7 linked regions of the Kluyveromyces lactis genome follow. The protein of the gene in region 1 binds, or shares a complex with, the protein of each later gene. Links are inferred from orthologs where the notes say so. Each region holds a gene or a part of one and is shown on either strand. Other genes may lie near its edges.

Region 1 (2,630 bases):
AGGAAGCATTGTGGAGTAATTGAAGATTTTCTTTGTGGTATTGTTTCAAATTTTTCATATCACTTCACTTATTTTTATTCTTTCCCAATTGAAATTAATCTTTGATCCTTTAATTTGTAAAACACTTACGTGCAATTCAGTACATGGACCTTATTTTCGTACACACGTTGTTCAAATACTATGCCAAAATAATGAGTGGTATATTTTAATGTCAAGTCAACGTATAACTTATCTACAATGCATCTATGCAGTGCCAAATTTCTTCAAATATTCCGCCGTCAGTTTACTTCTTTGAATTACTCGGTGACAAGTTTGAAAGAATCTCATTTAGCATTGCTGATCAACTAAATCTACAGTTGAAGTAGCTATCATCTTAGATATGTAAGGTTTGTCTTTTCACCCTTTAACGAATAGATGGCTGTTGCTATACAATTAAATTGGTCATTAATTTGTGCGTATATGGCTATTTACAGTTGTTTTTGTGTGTTTTAAAAGGTTGATCAAAGCTGTTTGTGTAATAGCTCAACAAGATCCACTGTTTTCCTTGGAGCATCTTGTGGACGTTTCCACTCTTCTGGGAACTCGTACCCACGCTTTTTCTTACGCAATTGTCTTGCGATGATATGTCTTTTATCGAGAGGAACATCAGCAAAGTCGTCTTTCAAATCTTTAGCCTCCTTGAGTAATTCTAGAAGAATGCTGTTTAAGTACTTTGCATTTTGAGCTGGTTCTTCATAGCGATCAGAAGACATTCTCAAAGTATCTGTAGTAGAATCATAACGTGTTTTTGCCAATAGACGCAGCTTATGCAGTTCCCTCTGTTCCAAGCCGAGATCCGATGTCTTCACAGATAAGACAACCTTACGAGAATTTGGATGTTCTTCACCAAGATATGTTGTATAACGATAAGCTACTGGATGAGTCTTTGTTGAAGGGCGTTTATATTCTTGACGATACTGCGCAAGTAAAGGAAGTTCAAATGCTGCCAAACGATTGTAGAAACGTTGTTCACGATGTTGATGAACTAAAATTTGTGATTGTGATGGCAAATCATCAAACTGATATTGATCCAAGTTGACATGCTCGTCTAGACCTCTTGCAATGCCCATTTCTGCCTCAACTTCTTCAGGTGTCTTATGATAGTACTCTTTGAAAAGTTTTGCTGGAATTCCAGACGCTTCGGCAGTGGGTAACAATGCTTTCAACTCTTCTTCGCAAGGCTTATATAGGGGCCCTAGTCTTGCCTTTCTTTCATTGTGCAACGTTATGATATCTTTACTATCCAAACCGATCCATTTCGATGGATCCTTGTAAAGTGTTGAGGAAATGGTCGCAACTTCTTTCGTAACGGTGGAGTTTAAACGTCTACTACAAAAGAATGCAGTACGTTGCACGCTAGCACCAGTAATCATTGTTGAGTGCCTAAGATGATTACGTTATCGCAGACCTTTTAACACTTTGAATATAATTGGCTTTCTCTGGTTCCGATTGGTGTTGTATCGAGGATTATTGGTATTTCTGGTAAACTTGGAAAATTTTTTGCAGAGAAAAGGCGGAGGTCACGTGATAATAAATTTTCTATGAAAATATCTGTCAAAGTAACGGAAGATAAACAACGAAGCAACAAACAGAACAAAGTCATTAATATTGCCAAAGCTGGAAAGCAGCCTATCTTTTAACGATAGTCAACAGTGGACAAAGGTGGAATCAAGTAGATTGCTAAACCAGATCTTCACTCAGTAAAACACCACTGGTATATTATGTCAAGGAATACGCGAAGAGGCAAAGGAATAAGAGAGCAGAAAAGAGATGACGCTGGGCTACATGAACCGTCGAATATTCTAAATTCGATGCTGAAGTCTTTAGACTTGACTTTTGAGAATGACATAGGTTTACTGAACGGTAAATACGTGAGGTCGGTTCCTGAGAAACCGGTTTTGCAAACAACTAAAGATCAACTAGAAAATCTAGGAAAATGTTTGGAGAAAATTGCAGCTAGTGATCAAGAGAATTTAGACCTAATCAAGGAAATGCGGGAAGATATAATAAGGCTCGAAGATGAGAAACAAAAAGAGAAGGAGGAAGCAGAAGCTGCAACAAACCTTGCAGCCCAGAACGCAGAAAATGATTCAATTAATAAAAAACTTGATGAATCTAGCGAAGTCGTATCGGATAAAAGATCAATTACAGAAGAGAACGAGGAGACAGACAAAAGGCCACAAGATACTATTGAAGAAGCGGAAGTTTTATCATCAGATGGTCACATATCAAAGAAAGCAAAGCTAGATATTGATAAAATGGAAAATGATCCTAACATTAGAAACCCCAAGTCTGAATTTGTAGTATCTCAAACGTTACCTGCTGCTGCAATGAGATTAGGTTTGTTTCAAGAGGAGGGTCTTGAAGCTACTGGTGAGGAATATTTGAAAAAGAAATACGGGGTAGTAAGCTATCCTACAAATGACTTAAAGGAACTTCTACCCGGTGAGCTGCCTGATATGGATTTCTCGAAACCTAAACCCACAAACCAAATTCAGTTTAATACTTTTCTCTCATCCATCGAGGCCTTTTACAGAGAATTCAATGATGACGATATCAAATTCCTTCAAAACAAATTCATCATGCCACAA
Region 2 (2,067 bases), on another chromosome or scaffold:
AGAAACTTATATAACTCTGTATGATAGGAGTCAAGTAGCTCATTATTCCAGGATGATTAACATATTGAATCATAGAACATAGCTGACACTAACAAGCAAGGATGTCGTTGTCTAAATTACCTTTCGTAAAGCACAAGAAGAGTTTACCAGATGATGAGCTCATCAAGGTCTTATTTGTAAACCCTAATTCAACCCAAGCAATGACCGATGCCTGTTTAAAGATATTGGCTGGTCATGTAGCTCCAGACACTGTGGTTTACGGGTACACTGCACCATTTGGTAAGGCACCCAATGTGATTGAGGGTCATCTCGATGGTATTCAATCTGCAATTGCCGTTATGGAAGATGCTTACGATGTAATAAACCAAGTCGATTGTGTACTTGTTGGATGTTTTAGCGACCATCCATTGATAAAATCTATCAGGGAAGAATTTGATGATGTTGTGTGCATGGGTATCGTGGAAGCAGCCGTGTACTCATCCAGGATCATTGGATCAAAATTCGGTATTCTTGCATCAATTTACAAGGCTCAGTTAAGAGATGAGGAAACCATAGCAGGTCTTGGCATGTCCACATTTTGCGTTGGATTGTTAAGTTCTGGTATCAAAACCGTATCGGATTTGGTCAAAGTGGAAGAAGCTGAGCTTCATAAAACAATGTCTAAAACTGCCTTGACCTTAGTAGAAGAATATCACGCAGACACCATCATCTTGGGCTGTGCAGGGATGAGCGACTTGAAAAATGCTGTTGCAAACGCTTTACAGCAGAATGGCTATGAAGTGCCAATTATTGACGGAGTGGTATGCGGGATCAACATTGTTTCGGCTGTCTACAGAAGTGGATTACACGGTACATCCAAACAAGGAGCTTATTCAAGTGCTAGAAAGGCAAGAGAACTAAGAGGTGATACAGTTGAAATCAAGAAGTCATGATACTGGGAGTCCATTGGCATGGTGCTGTGTTCATTCCATTCCTTATATAACGTGTATAGTGCCAATATAGTCAGGTGACCTCCATCAAGAACGTTTAACATGATATGAACTTCAAGCTTTGAAAGAGAAAAAAACGAGTTTGGAGCTTCTCCGGAAGATGAAGAATAAAGTTCAAGCATTAGTGGATGCATTCTTTGGTTTTCGGCGTATTCAGTATCTGTGAGACTAATTTCGATAGTTATCCTAGCAATTAGTATATCCAAAGGAAGGCTGTAGATATAAACAACATGGGTGGTTTCAGATTTCCAATCAAGACAAAGCTTCCTTCAACGTATTTGAATGCTAGAGTTATCAGAGACAATTTCAAGAGACAGCAAGTTGCAGACAATGAAGTCACTGTAAAGGCATTGAAATTCATTGCTAGAAATACTACTCTACCTCCAAGGTCGAGAATGGAAGCTCAGTTACAACTTTCTGTGATGCCTAACTATACAAGAATGACACAAATCAAGAACAGATGTATTGAAACGGGACACTCCAGATCTGTTCTGAGTGATTTCAGATTGTGTAGATCGCAATTCAGAGAACTTGCCAGGAAAGGTGATCTACCTGGTGTGAAGAAGGGTGTATGGTAGATGCAGTTTAGCATCTTTTGTTCCCTGATACTGAGGTTAGTAAAAGTTGGAATCTTTCTCTCCCGCATGCATGTAAATATTTTTAATTAACTCAACATATATAAAGCTTGTGTATAGACATTAAAAAATACAAGGTTTAATCAATGTAAAAGAAGCGCTTGGGTTGTGGCAAAGCAAGTGACATTTATAAGATGAGAAAGTGCAGTATAGTGGTGATAATATTTAAGTTTCTTACAAAATAAAAGAGTGTAGGTATATAAAAATAATTTATAGGTAGAAACACACAAAACAGAAGAGAGGTAGAAGAGAAAATGTCAGGGAGGGATGGTCACTTGAAACCAGATGGAAACAAAGAAAAGAACGAGGAGAAAAAATTAGGAAATTCAACGGAAATTAATTGCTGACATTTGTATATTAAAAATTGATCAATTAGAAACAAATGAATATGGTTTGTTCGTCTTCCCTCTTCTTTTTTTTTGGATCTTTACTTCTGCCAATTA
Region 3 (3,089 bases), on another chromosome or scaffold:
TCATCGACAGGTTCATTCGCCAGTTCGCTCACAGATTCTCCAACACTGACTGGCGGAGTGGTCGCCATTTCTTGTTTCGCCTGTACATTATTTTGCTCAGTATCCTTTTCATCGATATCCTTTTCTCGTTCCCGTGGCTCTTCTGACTCTTGTTCTACTTGCGTATCCTGTGATTCCGCACCCTTCAGTTTTGCCTTGTCATCCGCAGAAGCGGTCTCCTCTTGCTTAATATCTTCCACCTCATGATCCCTAGCATGTTCTAACATAAGTTCTCCATAATCTTCCCACGATAGTTCAAATTCCGTCTCTTGCTGGAGTCTATTTTGTAATGGTATTATATTTCTCTTAAGCTCGTCACAATTGTCAACATCATTGTCACTGTCATCATCATTATCTAGTTGAGCGTCCCCTTCTGTCTTTTTGTTTGTAGTTTCGGTTGGTCCGTCATCATTATAAAATTCAGGGTATGGCTGGTTCTCTACTTCATCTGCCTTCTCTAAATTATAGTACCGACTCAATTGTTCCCAAACGTCCTCCCCAGAAAACACTTTATCTGAGCTGCCTTTATCGCTTTGCAAAAGTTTGATTGGATACTGATCTGGCTTGTTCAATCGCTCAAGCAAACACACCATATGGAAGTGTTTATGTATTCCTGCAGGTTTGAACAGCATCATCCATTTAAACAGCCTTATTTCCTCCACTTTACTCCATGTTTGCCCTCTAGGTGATTCTATCTTTACAGCGGACATCGCAGTGAACCGTATCGTATTACTTTTATCTGAAGTATCACAACCTTATACACCAAAAGAACGTTCTTGCAATTGATATAATAAAGTTCCTATCAAGATCGCTGATAAAGCAGATCGTATGAGGCTTGATACCATCTTCGCCAGTCCATCTCAATATGGTTCTATGGTGTTTCTCATCTTTCTAAACTATGAATGCTAATATTTGATATCATATGTCACGAAATTCCTCTAAAAATTTTTCAATATCGGAAAGCTTCAAGCATTAGATAGCGTTTGATTGAAAAATATTATGCAGGTAGTTCGGATATGCAATGTATTTCCATTTCGAAGAGTCCGTAAGCAGTCAATTCTGGTTAGTTTTGTCAATACATTGTGAAGAAAAAGACCAGCAATGCCTAGGAAAGCTGTACTTCTGAACTCTTTGTCCAGAGGGAAGGTTCGTACCTCTTTTAACAAGTACAATTTGTTCAACTTGTATAAGAAATCTCAGGTCAGTTTTAGATCGAAAACACTATACCAACAGAAATGGACTTCTAAACAGGAAACTCGTGCCTACCATGGCGAACATTTAACAGAGAGTAGGTGGCAGTCTGTTTTCGAGCCTCAGCTAAACTCTGTGGCTCAATTAGATGCTTCTCTAAGGGGTGGTGATATCGAACCGACGCCCATTCTATTACAAACATACGCTGTACTAGAGAAAAGGCTAGACTTTGCTTTGTTTAGAGCTATGTTTGCCTCGTCAGTGAGACAAGCTCGTCAGTTTATTTTACATGGCAACGTCCATGTGAATGGTGTAAAGATTACTTCTCCGGGATATGCCTTGAAAGCTGGTGATGTTTTCAACGTCAGACCCGAAAAAGTGCTACAAGCTCTTGGTGCCAAGAAACCTAGCTTGAAGGAAGCTTTGAAAGTGGATAATACCCAAATTTTCCTATGGAACAAATATATTCTAGAGGCTAGAAAGAATCCTAGAAAGTTCTGGGATGAAAAGATCGAAAAACTAAGAACTATGGATAGTAACGATCCAAAGAAACAGGAATTTTTATCCTTCCTCGAAAACTACAACAAAACCATGCACATTCAAATGAGGAAAGAATTAGACCAAACCAGTAACGAGTATTTGTTAGCTAAGATCTTTTCTACCGTTAACCGCGTTAACGATGTAGAAAAATTGGCAGTAAAAGATTTCTTGGGCGAATTTTACAATAACGAAAATTTGGCAGCTAAAGGATTCGAAATTTATAGAGAAGTCAAGTCTGCCAAGGCTGTGGAAACGATAGCAGGGAAGCCTTTGGCTGAAATTCCTAATGAACAAGGTGAATTGCTAAAGGTGGCTACAGGAATAACTAAACCTGTTGATAACACAAACGATGCCTTAAAGAAAAAATTCAGAGCCATCAATCATACTATAGTTGATTTGAGACATTTCTATGAAACCGTGGTCAGAGAACATTATAATGACAAGATGGCATCCGTTGATTCTGTTGATATTCCATACGATGCTAAGTGGGCTGAAAAGTTACCATTGCATCAAAAGATCAATGTTCCTGAACTATTGGAAAACGAACCAGCTGCTCAAAAAGCTATCAATTTACCATGGCAAAAGGGTGTGTTTGGTCGTAACGATCCATCTAAACCATATTTCACTCCGTGGAAACCAAGACCCTTCTTAGCACCATTCGCCATTCTACCACACCATTTGGAAATATCATTCAAGACATGTCATGCGGTCTACTTAAGAGACCCTGTTGCACGTCCAGGTCAATCTGAAGTTATTACTCCATTCGGCTTACCTGTACATGAACGTTCATACATGTACTATGTGAGAAGGGGTAAATAAGTTGACGAAAACAAATACACACGAAAGAATGGATACACTGTGACTATGACAATTTAAAAAGAATGGTGTATCTTGGAAACCTTGTACATATTATTATCATTATTTTATCGTATCATATTATATTAATTATATATATATATTTATATGTTCTAATGAGTAAAGAATAAACTAACACCCAGTAACGAGAAGATATACTATTCAGATATTCAACCAGCATGTTCGTAAATCTTGGTTTGTAGTTTACCTTCGACGAAAGTGTGTATCATCTGTTCTGGAAGTGGAACTTCAACGAAGTCACCATCGGGACCAGTTGGAGTGTTGATGTTAATACCAGTGCTAGAAGAGGTGAAAATTTGAGCCTGTAAAGAGTTTTTACTCAAATAAATGGAGCCGCTATCAGACGCGTCGATGGTGATTTGTGGCAGGGTGTTTTCCACTTGAATACCAAATCTCAAACATTTAATAATATCCACACCACTGATGGAAGAATCTAGCACTAA
Region 4 (2,349 bases), on another chromosome or scaffold:
ATGTAACATCATGAGCACTAATCTCCAATACAAACCTGAACATTACACCAAACATACCTATTAAATACTTGAGAAGTTAGACATTCACTCACTCATTCACAAAAACATAACATAAACCATCTTTTTGTTCTTGTAATTTTGTTAATATTTATGAATTTTCGGAAATCACATAGTTTAACAGTCAGTATTCCTCGATGATACTTCCCTCATTCAGGGAAATATATGCTGATGACGATTATTATTATTGTGTAGAATTACCTGATAGCATCTTATATATGGTGATATGTAAATTTAATCACTTCAATTTTACCGCATGGGGCCAAGCTGTTAAGTGTATGTAACTACTACATTGGTTTATGACCGGAAAAAGTGCCCGAATTCCTCTTATCAATTTAAGCCTATATACATGAGTTCTTGACCGTAAGAAAGCCTTGGGAGATGGTGATTTATGCCCTGATTATTGATATACCGCTTTTAATACAGTAATCGGAACAGCTGGTCTATTCTTCAAAGACTTCTTTCCTAGGTTCAATAACAACCCTACTACTTGTGTAGGTCTTTCCCCAATTTTCATCCAGGATTCCAGCTTTTCTCAATAGTCTTGTTACCGTATCACTAGGTTGAGCACCAACACCGATCCAGTATTTAGCTCTTCCGAAGTCTAATTCCACATCTTTAGTAGGAACAACACCTTGTTTAACCTCTTTCTTCGTTAATGGTTTTGGGATTGGGTTGTATGTTCCTAATACTTCAATTGGTTTCCTATTCAACGCCTTATGTTTGTTGGTAACAACTATGTTGTATACTGGGGTATGTTTCCTTCCGAATCTAGCTAGTCTTATCCTCACCAAACCTTTCGTCATGATTATTGTATTTCACCAAACTTGGCGTTAAATTCTGGTTTAAGAGACTTGGTTTACTCGCTCTGGTCGTCTTGATACATAATATGTTTGTCCTGTTATTACGCTTTTAATGTTGATTGAATTTTTTTTTCTATCTTTCGAAGGATTTTCAACACCAACTAAATAAAGCATGTCTATCACGTGATATAGGTGGGATATCTAACAGCCGTATGAGCAACATTCGTCTTAGGCGTTTATGGCGACATTACAGCCTAATAGTATAGGAAGTTGATCTATGAGAAAGTATCTATAAGTGAGAAAGTGTTTATTTACTGGAGTTAGACTGACGGTGGGAATTAGTTTACCAAAAATGCAGTCATATAAAACGACTTGGCATTACAAATAACATCGCATTCAGTAAAGAAAGTTAACGACACAAATAATGAAATAGTATGTTCTTGAACCCGTTTAGCAGACGCATATATACAGAGTTGGCATATATTAACCAAAATTTATTTACTTTTTATTCTCTGCTTTCTTCATTGCCTCACGATCCTTGCTGCTTCATCACTAAGGGCTTAAAAAGAAATTTTTCACAAGCTGTATAAAATTTTCAATCTAGCTCATCTCATCGCTCATCTCATCTAACAAGTAGAGACGAGTTATAATCAACAACACCTCAGAAAAGAGAATTACTGAGTTTAACTTGGGATTGAAAACTGACAAGCGAACAAATTGTGCAATATGGGTCCTGAACAAGCGTCCAAGCTTCTTGAACTTGAAGATAAGCTTGCTAAAATCAGAGGACAATCTACATCAAAACTAGAGAATCAGAAGCACATTGCCATAATCTTGGCTGCTATTGAAGAAAATATTAATGAGCAAGAGGCAATTAATAAGAACATCGTGAATTATCTTATTTCTTTGATGTCCTTGCTGGATCAAACTATCGATACAGAAACTGCGGCCATTAAAGATCTACAATTAGCAACATCAACGATGTATTTGTTGGACATCATTTTTCATTATACACCAAAGAAAATATTAAAGAGCAGGTTTGCTGATATTTTGATTAAAGTTGCCCCATGTATTACTGATGAAAAGGCTAACGCTCCTTTGATCAAATCCGCTCTTGGTTGTTTAGAAGCTTTGTTAATTGCCCAGGATACGCAAACGTGGAATAACACTCAAAATTTAAAGGTGACTCCAACAAGAGGTTTGGATGGTCTACTTGAGCTATCTCTAGATCCAAGACCAAAAGTAAGGAAGAGAGCACAGGATGCAATTACCAACATTCTAAAAAACCCTCCACCTGGTCCAACAGCAGAACACGTCGCATCACCTTTGATCTCAGCATTCGCTATTAATGCATTGGTATCCATCCTTGATGAATCTGCAACGATTTCCAATAAGAAGCTAAGAGCAATGGGAGGTGCAAGTGAATTGAACTCCAAAATCATTCATATTTTGAAACTTTTGAGCAATATAATATCAACAAATCAATGGC
Region 5 (3,155 bases), on another chromosome or scaffold:
TATGGGAAGGAGTCCCCGGGAGAAGAGTATATAAAATTATTTATACACCCCGCGGCTTATTCCCTGGAATTCCAGGGAATAAGTCCGCGGGAAAAGTATTATAAATAAATTAATAAATAAATAAATAAATAAATAAATAAATTATTAATACTAATAATAAGTATTATACCCCGCGGGAAAATGTATATTATATATTTATTTATATATAAAATTAATAATATAAAATTAATTTTTATTAGTATTTAGAGGTCCTTAAGGAAATAGTAAGGAGAACGCGGGAAAGATATATATTAATTTATTATATATTATAAAATATTTATATTTTTACCCCCCCCTTCATATAATATGAAGGGGGGATTATATGTATATATTAATTTATTATATATTATATAATTATATAATTATAATATAAAGAAAGAAGCCCCACGCGGCATTACCCTAGGGTAATGCCGCGTGGGGGAAGAATATTGATTATTTATTTATTATTATTAATTAATAAATTAAATAGTATTTAATTTAACTTTAATATTATATTTACCATTTTTATTAACATCAGAAATATTAGTAATATTATGGTTAACAGGGATATAATTTAATTTATAATTATTAACCATTTGATTACCTCAAATATATTTATAGTTTTGGAATGTACCATTTAAAATATTCATTGTATTAGATCTAGAAATAGATTTATTATTAGATAATCTACCTTTTAATTGAATTGATCATCCTACTAAATATTTAAACATTAAAATATTATTAGGGATAGTATTAATATTATTATTTTCATAAATAATATTATATAATTTCCCCGCGGCTCCTCCCCTGGGATTACCAGGAGAGGAGTCCGCGGGGTTATTATTATTATTATTATTAATTGATTTAATAATATTATTATATTTATTAAACATAATATTATTAATATTATTAATATATGTTTGACTAATTAATTTATCATTTAATTTAGGCATATTATTCATTAAATTTTTAATTCTATTCATTGATAAACTTCTTTTAGAAGATGAATTCATAATTTTTAATGATTTAGCTAAAATATCACTATTCATATAATTATATTTTAATTGAATAGGTTCAAATGATACATCTTTATTATAATATAATGATAAAATATTACTAATACTATTAATGTTATTATTTAATAAATTAATTAATTTACTATTAATATTAAATTTATAATTACTATAAATATTATTAATTAAATTATTGTTATTATTAATATTTTTATTAATATTTTTATATGATAAATAATAGAAAAATTTAATATTAACTTTATTAATACTATGTTCAAAGATAGGTTTAGAAATAATTAATTTATAAATTTTATTATTAATATTTAATACTAATAATTTTGTTAATAATTTAGTTACTAATCTATCATAAATAGTATTATTAATTTCTTCAGTTTTATTAAATTTATAAATTTGAGATGATCAAGAATTAATATTATTTAAATGTTGTAATTTTACACCTTTATTACTTAATTCATTTAAATAATCTCAAATATAAGTTTTATTTAAAGATCTATTTAATCTTTTATTATTTAATAATAATAATAATTCTTTTATAGAATTTAAATTGTTTATATTATTAATATTTTTAATAATATTTAAATTTGTTGTATGTTTATTCATTGTATTTATATTTATTTATATATATTGATCGTATAATATATATATATAAAACTATATATATATTATTATTAAATTATTAAAAAATTTAACATGTTTATTATATTTACTACTTATAAATATAAAATAAAATATTTATTATATATTTTATAAATTATGTATATTCCGCGATATCATCATATGATGATATCGCGGGAAAGAGATAAATTCCCGCGGATCCTCTACTGGTAATACCAGTAGAGGATCCGCGGGGTAAGATAATATATTCTATTTATAATTATTATTAAAGAGATAATCTATTTTATTTCCCCCCCCCCCAATCTCATATTATGAGATTGGGGGGAATCGATATATAAACCCCGGACGCCATCGTCCGACCGTAGGGTCGGACGAGGCGTCCGGGGAATTGTATTTATTTATATAGATCTATTATATATAATAATATAATTATTAATCGCCAAATACCCCTATTATAGGGGTATTTGGCGATACTAGATATATATTTAATATTACTAATAATATACTATATATAAATAGTTTTCATAATTAACTTTTCCCCATTGCGGACTCCTCCCTTCGGGGGGGGGGGAGTCCGCAATGGGGTTTATAAGTAAGTATAATATAATAATAATTATATTAAAATATAAATATTATCATATATATATATATTATATATATATATTAAGTAATATTATTTCTATAAATTAAATTAACATTTAAATTTATAAATGTATAGATTATAAAAATATTTATGACACATTTAGAAAGAAGTAGACATCAACAATTTCCCTTTCATTTAGTAGCTCCATCACCATGACCAATTGTAGTATCATTTGCATTAATGTCATTAGCATTATCATTAGCTTTAACTATGCATGGATATATTGGACATATGTATTTAATTTATTTATCAATTTTAACAGTAACATTAAGTGCTACATTATGATTTAGAGATATTATTGCTGAAGCAACATATTTAGGAGATCATACAATTGCTGTTAGAAAAGGTATTAATTTAGGTTTCTTATTATTCGTAGTATCAGAAATTTTAATTTTCGCTGCATTATTCTGAGCTTATTTCCATTCAGCTATGAGCCCTAATATTGAATTAGGTGGTGTATGACCTCCAGTTGGTATTCAAGCTGTACAACCTACAGAATTACCTTTATTAAATACTATTATCTTATTATCTTCAGGTGCTACTATTACATATAGTCATCATGGATTAGTAGGTGGTAATAGAAAAAATGCATTATCAGGATTATTAATTACATTCTGATTAATTGTTATTTTTGTTACTTGTCAATATATCGAATATACTAATGCTACTTTCACAATTACTGATGGTGTATATGGATCAGTATTCTATGCTGGTACAGGATTACATTTCTTACATATGGTTATGTTAGCAGCAATGTTAGGTATTAATTATTGAAGATTAAGAAACTATCATTTAACAGCTACTCATCATGTAGGTTATGAAACAACAGTGTTGTACTGCCATAT
Region 6 (2,687 bases), on another chromosome or scaffold:
TGTCTTCTTTGTTTTGATAGGTTTCCAGTCAACAGTCGATGTCCTGACCGTGCTATAAAGTCGTCTTACCGGCCTTACCTTTGGTACAGTGAATGGCCTAGCCACAATGAAGCGAAACATATGCTTTGCTAATTGTGTGATACTAGTAGCTTCCGCTAAGAATTGAAATGCGTTTGAACAATTAGTAACAGCAAAGAAGTTAAAGCTTTTCTAATCATGTTTATACGCGATTAGATATACTACTCATCTGCTTTCATCATCTTCATTTTCCAATCTTTTAAAGATCAGAAAAGTGTGAAATATTCTAAAAGTCACGTGAAGAAGAATTTGGAACTCCGACGTTGTGGGGATATTAATATGTACAAGGTTACGTAGATCTGAGTATTGATTGTTTTATGAGAATGATCATCTAGGTCGTAATTGAATCATGTGAAGGTTGTTCAGATAGTTTCTTCATAGGAGAAAAAGTGAAAGTAATTTAAATATGGAGTTGGTTGAAATCAAGCAGAGTAATATACCTTCTTGACATCCACAATTTTCTTACCTCTACCTAGAGCAATTTCATCTATAGATTTTTGAGACTTGGTGATAGCGTCTATAGTACCCTTGGCTATGTTCATGATATTTCTACTCTTGTAAACTTTTGCACTTAAATCTTTGATACCAGCACATTCACAAATTTCATAAATTACGTGATTGACTCTTAGACCGAAACCTGGCTTAGCAGCTCTCAAGAATAGTTTCACACCGTGGTATCTATAGTCTATGTCTTCAAAAATAGTTCTTTTTTCAAATCTAGGCACTTCTTTTAAGTTCCTCACTGCATCCCAATGAGCTTTCTTGATGGATTCTGCCATATCTTCACGGGATTTACCCTCACCGATTCCTACCATACCATTCTTATCACCAACAACCACAAGAGAATAGAAGGATGGAATTTTACCTTTTGCAGTTTGATTAGAAACCATCTTTAAGATCAATGGTTTCATCACTAGTTTTCTGGCGATATGTTGAGCATCGAACCCCGTCTGTAGTTGGATATTATTGGCAATGTTTTGTATATCTGATCTGCCTTCAGTTTGTAAGTATGAACCCACAGGAGGAGTCAAATCTGGATGCTTTTCCATCTCTTGAACGAATACCGAAGATGAGCTTGAATGTAGATGTGGAGAGTTTGGTTTATAATCCCAATAAGGATGTAATGTGGCAAAGTTATCCAAATATGGTGGTGAGAATTCAACATTTGTCTGTGGTTTGAACTCTACATTGTCAGGAATTACTTTATCAGCTAAGGAAATAGACTTGAGTAGTTCTGGAGAGTAGTATTTCTTCAACAGGTCTTGTTGAAATACACGAGCAGTGCTCGAGAAACAACGGACGAACATTCTCAAATACGATCAGGGTTATTGAGAAAGACGCTGCAACTCACTATGTTGAATTTTGCTCCTCGACCTGTCTAAACCTGCTTCAAAAGACTTCTGGTGTCAATTATATTAGACCTTATTCTGGTGTATATGTCTGAGTATGTTGCCATTCTGTATTAACTATTGAAATTTTTTTAATTTTTGAAAATCGATCAATCGTTACAAATGAGAGAGCATTATTCTTGATCATGTGATTAGAAATTCACAATTCTTAGCTGAAGATCCACCCACTAAGGTATGGTAAGATTAGCAGTGGTTGCACATCTTTAAAATCTTCTTCAGACGTTCAAAGGAGGATACATGGAGTATGTTTCAGGTATGTTCCACGCATCTTTACCCTTACATGGTAGATGACACTATCATATGGAATGCTATCCGGGTAACATGTTTTTTTGTTTCATTTCTGAGTCTGTTTCATCCAATATTGAGCTCTGTCGCTTAAACAACGACTTACCTGCTTTAATAAAGCCGGTCACTAAAACATCTATATTAGTGGTTTAGTATCGCTATATACAATTTCCAGAGAAGATCTTTTTTCAAAACACTACATATTCTTCTGATACATAGTGGAGCAACATGTTTCAGCTGGCAATGTTATACACGGGCTTTGTTGTCATTAGAATCAATATTAGTACCATATCCTTTCAGTACCTTAAAGATGAAACATTCATATCACGAAGACTCTTCTTTTAGGTATATATTTTACTATGTTTTAAAACCCATTTAGAAAGATTCTTTATCTACAGGAAATAATGAACTAAATACAAATAGTATTTAGTTATGCAGGAACATGAAGACCAATAGAATAAAGATGATCTGGTGTCTTGCCCTGCATGAAGAGAGAGTAATCCCAAAATGCCTGAATTTTTGAAAAACTGCAGATGTTTTCTTTCTCAATTTTGGTCCGAGAATAAATTCATATGAGACATACCAATCCTGTTGGTTCTCTTTCCAAATGAAATCAACTCCACTTATCTGACAAGATTACCATATAAGTTACTCGTTAATTTATATAAAAATATTGGAACGAAATACTCGTTCACATGGATGGAGGTAGAATCTGAAATCAATTCGGAAGAAGTTATGTTTTCTGGAACCAATCCCTAGTGGCAATGCGACATCAATAGTGATTTACTTGTGCGTCATGTGAAAATTCCATGCCGCAGGTAGATTGACAAACTAATGCATTTACTAACGCTACCCAGCAGTGATATACATATGGTAAGAAAGGAAACCACCTGGCCTTGCAAGTTTTCTTTTCCT
Region 7 (2,596 bases), about 430 kb from region 1:
CCGTGATCGTACACGATGGTACTGTGTGCCAGTGATCTGAGGTCAAACACTCTGACGGATCCATCACCACCGCAGCTGGCAAACAACTGCGTCGATTGTGCCAAGAATTTCACGTCGAACACTTCGCTATCATGTGCAATCAATTGCGTCTTTACGTAGTTGGTAGAGTTCGAAAGATCCCATACGGTACACGTCGTGTCGATGCTACACGATAATAGTAGGTTAGGGGAGATGGGACTCCAATGGAACGATGTGACGGGTGGGAGTTGGCCCAACGTGACAGTATCCTTTTGAGACGCAGAACTAGGGTGTTTCCCGTATTTGTATAAAGAAAGGTTGATCTGTTCCTGTAAACTGCCATCCAACGACCATATCCTTAGGGAATCCGAGCATGTTGCTAGTCTTGTATTGTTTTGAGGCATCCATTGGATCCTGGATATAGGATAAACCACGTTAGCAACGTTGGTACATTCCCATGTAGAATAATCGTTCGATCCGTTGATGATCTCTATTCTATTGTAGGAATCTTCCTTATATGTCCCCAGGGCACATTGATCGTTCTGATTCCAAGAAAGCGCGAAAAGTGGAGCGCTGGACTGGTACTGACATGTCGTTACCGTTTTTAGCTTGTCCAATGTATAGTTACTATTCCCACTCCCCAGTCCCAACTGTTGCTGTTGCTGCTGTTGCTGCCCATGTTGTAACTGTTGAGAATGGCCTTGGTTTGGTCGCTGGTAGAAATTAACTCCGTTGTTCCCTACATTGTCTAACAGGTTCAGTTGCCTTTGATAGCTTCCAAATGAGATACTGGACCTTTTACTATTTCGATAATCCATGATTAATGGCTAGTTTTCCTTGAAAAATCTTTGAAATAGAAATCCTCTGTAATTTAAATGTATATCGCAGTGTTTTGATTGGTCTTTCTGGTATCGTAGACCCCTTCAAACCCCTTCTCTCGGTTAGTTTCGATATTTAAGGTCATGTGAAGATTCTAAAACAGACCAATCCTTTAATTTTTATGGCCAGAATGTTAAGCCGTTTGCCATTCTCAAGAGCAACAGGAACATGAAAAAGGGACATTTAGCGTCCCACATTGCCTTATAACATTCTAATCTACCCACGGACGTTTCAAACTGGGCCAAGTGTGCTAAGAAGTAGTTTAGTTCTATAAAACCCAAGACTAACCTCATACCTCCATATTCTTGGTGAAGAACTAAATCACGTGATCTATCATTAGAAACGGTGGTGATCTTTCCAACATCAAAAAATTTTAAAGCCTTGAGGCCATGAACGGTTAGGTCGATGCTGTTAAAAGAACAATAGAGCAGTCTAGTTAGCTCTGTGTCAATTGGTTCGTCGATACCACTATCCAAGAATAAATTAGCCCACCTTCAACCATGGCTCGTCAAAATTTTATTGGGATGGTCATCTCCCAAGGGAAGATGCAGAAGACTGTGAAAGTTCGTGTTGAGACCAAAGTTTTCGATAAGAGAATCAACAAAGAGTTGTTCCATAGGAAGGATTATTTGGTTCATGATGAATCTGAGGTTTCTCGTGAAGGGGATTTAGTACGTATTGAAGCTACGAGACCTTTGTCCAAGAGAAAGTTTTTTTCCGTTGCTGAAATTATCAGAAATAAAGGTCAACAATTTGCTTTATTCCAAGAACAGGCCAAGATCAACGTTGCCAGCGAGGAAAACGAGAAGACTAAGGCCTTTTTAGAAAGGAGAGAACGTAAACAGGGTGTGGAATCGACACTTTTGAATGATGTTCGTGTATTACAGAAGGCTTATACAGATGGTACCGAGGATTCTGCCGCAGTTAAAGAGATTAAGAGCCGTTACGGAATTGATAAGTTTAGTCCGGAATCCTTGAAGCAAATATTACAGTTGGATATTCTCAAGATTGAAACCCAAGTGAAACAACAGCAGCAGAAGATCGATGCTATTACAGAAAAATTGGCAGAGTATACCAAGAACGAATCCTTGGCTAATGAATTTTTACTATCGAAAGGTTTGGAGAATCCTCAACTGTTGAAGAAGAATATCAAGAAGAACATCTTGAGAAAGCACATACTCGAGGAACTCAACGTATGAGAGAAAAAGAGGAATGACAGAAAATAATTAAAAAGGATGTTTCCCTATGTATATAGAATGAATATAATTCTCCCCGCCGCATCGAAGTAACACGCATGTAAATATAATTATCAATATTTCAAAAGTTGGGTTTGAAGAAAAAGAAGAAGAACAGCAGATGATTTAAATCTCTAGTATCTAATTTCTGAGGATTCACATTTCAATTTCCCAAGACTCTTCCGTTTCCTTGAAATGTGGGCTCCGCTGGAGTATCCGTATTATGCAAGGGCAATCTGGATTCTGACCCCAGGTAAACGGAAGTATATTCAAGTGATCTGTCCACTTCAACTTCCCTATAGTACTTAATACCGAATGGGATCAGATTGATCAATGGATCGACCCATGTTTCAATTTTCTTCAATACAAAGCTTGGTGGAGTAATCTTGGCTACCCAATTCTCTTTCAACCCCATGAAGTATCCTAATAGTAACCCAATTGCATGACCTGGTAGACTAGAACCA

Evidence for each region.
Region 2: RSM24 (region 1) and MRP2 share a complex: the UniProt entries of both Saccharomyces cerevisiae proteins name them as parts of the mitochondrial small ribosomal subunit. The link is inferred for Kluyveromyces lactis from reciprocal best matches to the Saccharomyces cerevisiae genes RSM24 and MRP2.
Region 3: RSM24 (region 1) and NAM9 share a complex: the UniProt entries of both Saccharomyces cerevisiae proteins name them as parts of the mitochondrial small ribosomal subunit. The link is inferred for Kluyveromyces lactis from reciprocal best matches to the Saccharomyces cerevisiae genes RSM24 and NAM9.
Region 4: RSM24 (region 1) and MRPS16 share a complex: the UniProt entries of both Saccharomyces cerevisiae proteins name them as parts of the mitochondrial small ribosomal subunit. The link is inferred for Kluyveromyces lactis from reciprocal best matches to the Saccharomyces cerevisiae genes RSM24 and MRPS16.
Region 5: RSM24 (region 1) and VAR1 share a complex: the UniProt entries of both Saccharomyces cerevisiae proteins name them as parts of the mitochondrial small ribosomal subunit. The link is inferred for Kluyveromyces lactis from reciprocal best matches to the Saccharomyces cerevisiae genes RSM24 and VAR1.
Region 6: RSM24 (region 1) and MRPS5 share a complex: the UniProt entries of both Saccharomyces cerevisiae proteins name them as parts of the mitochondrial small ribosomal subunit. The link is inferred for Kluyveromyces lactis from reciprocal best matches to the Saccharomyces cerevisiae genes RSM24 and MRPS5.
Region 7: RSM24 (region 1) and MRPS17 share a complex: the UniProt entries of both Saccharomyces cerevisiae proteins name them as parts of the mitochondrial small ribosomal subunit. The link is inferred for Kluyveromyces lactis from reciprocal best matches to the Saccharomyces cerevisiae genes RSM24 and MRPS17.

What each region holds. Positions count from the first base shown.
Region 1 is NC_006040.1:1,522,990-1,525,619, forward strand, and holds RSM24 (mitochondrial 37S ribosomal protein mS35), read right to left. Parts: upstream 1,413-2,630; coding exon 501-1,412; downstream 1-500. Other genes in the region: histone acetyltransferase NGG1, read left to right, coding at 1,761-2,630. UniProt on the Saccharomyces cerevisiae protein: Component of the mitochondrial ribosome (mitoribosome), a dedicated translation machinery responsible for the synthesis of mitochondrial genome-encoded proteins, including at least some of the essential transmembrane subunits of the mitochondrial respiratory chain.
Region 2 is NC_006038.1:937,252-939,318, reverse strand, and holds MRP2 (mitochondrial 37S ribosomal protein uS14m), read left to right. Parts: upstream 1-1,219; coding exon 1,220-1,567; downstream 1,568-2,067. Other genes in the region: DCG1 (Dcg1p), read left to right, coding at 102-932. UniProt on the Saccharomyces cerevisiae protein: Component of the mitochondrial ribosome (mitoribosome), a dedicated translation machinery responsible for the synthesis of mitochondrial genome-encoded proteins, including at least some of the essential transmembrane subunits of the mitochondrial respiratory chain.
Region 3 is NC_006037.1:1,006,620-1,009,708, reverse strand, and holds NAM9 (mitochondrial 37S ribosomal protein uS4m), read left to right. Parts: upstream 1-1,140; coding exon 1,141-2,589; downstream 2,590-3,089. Other genes in the region: EAF7 (Eaf7p), read right to left, coding at 1-749; SRV2 (adenylate cyclase-binding protein), read right to left, coding at 2,796-3,089. UniProt on the Saccharomyces cerevisiae protein: Component of the mitochondrial ribosome (mitoribosome), a dedicated translation machinery responsible for the synthesis of mitochondrial genome-encoded proteins, including at least some of the essential transmembrane subunits of the mitochondrial respiratory chain.
Region 4 is NC_006042.1:2,519,196-2,521,544, forward strand, and holds MRPS16 (mitochondrial 37S ribosomal protein bS16m), read right to left. Parts: upstream 864-2,349; coding exon 501-863; downstream 1-500. Other genes in the region: mRNA-binding protein RRP12, read left to right, coding at 1,587-2,349. UniProt on the Saccharomyces cerevisiae protein: Component of the mitochondrial ribosome (mitoribosome), a dedicated translation machinery responsible for the synthesis of mitochondrial genome-encoded proteins, including at least some of the essential transmembrane subunits of the mitochondrial respiratory chain.
Region 5 is NC_006077.1:36,139-39,293, forward strand, and holds VAR1 (ribosomal small subunit protein), read right to left. Parts: upstream 1,668-3,155; coding exon 501-1,667; downstream 1-500. Other genes in the region: COX3 (cytochrome c oxidase subunit 3), read left to right, coding at 2,401-3,155. UniProt on the Saccharomyces cerevisiae protein: Component of the mitochondrial ribosome (mitoribosome), a dedicated translation machinery responsible for the synthesis of mitochondrial genome-encoded proteins, including at least some of the essential transmembrane subunits of the mitochondrial respiratory chain.
Region 6 is NC_006038.1:1,002,308-1,004,994, forward strand, and holds MRPS5 (mitochondrial 37S ribosomal protein uS5m), read right to left. Parts: upstream 1,386-2,687; coding exon 501-1,385; downstream 1-500. Other genes in the region: cytochrome oxidase assembly protein SHY1, read right to left, coding at 1-120. UniProt on the Saccharomyces cerevisiae protein: Component of the mitochondrial ribosome (mitoribosome), a dedicated translation machinery responsible for the synthesis of mitochondrial genome-encoded proteins, including at least some of the essential transmembrane subunits of the mitochondrial respiratory chain.
Region 7 is NC_006040.1:1,091,074-1,093,669, forward strand, and holds MRPS17 (mitochondrial 37S ribosomal protein uS17m), read left to right. Parts: upstream 1-1,397; coding exon 1,398-2,096; downstream 2,097-2,596. Other genes in the region: KLLA0_D12760g (uncharacterized protein), read right to left, coding at 1-836; putative rhomboid protease RBD2, read right to left, coding at 2,296-2,596. UniProt on the Saccharomyces cerevisiae protein: Component of the mitochondrial ribosome (mitoribosome), a dedicated translation machinery responsible for the synthesis of mitochondrial genome-encoded proteins, including at least some of the essential transmembrane subunits of the mitochondrial respiratory chain.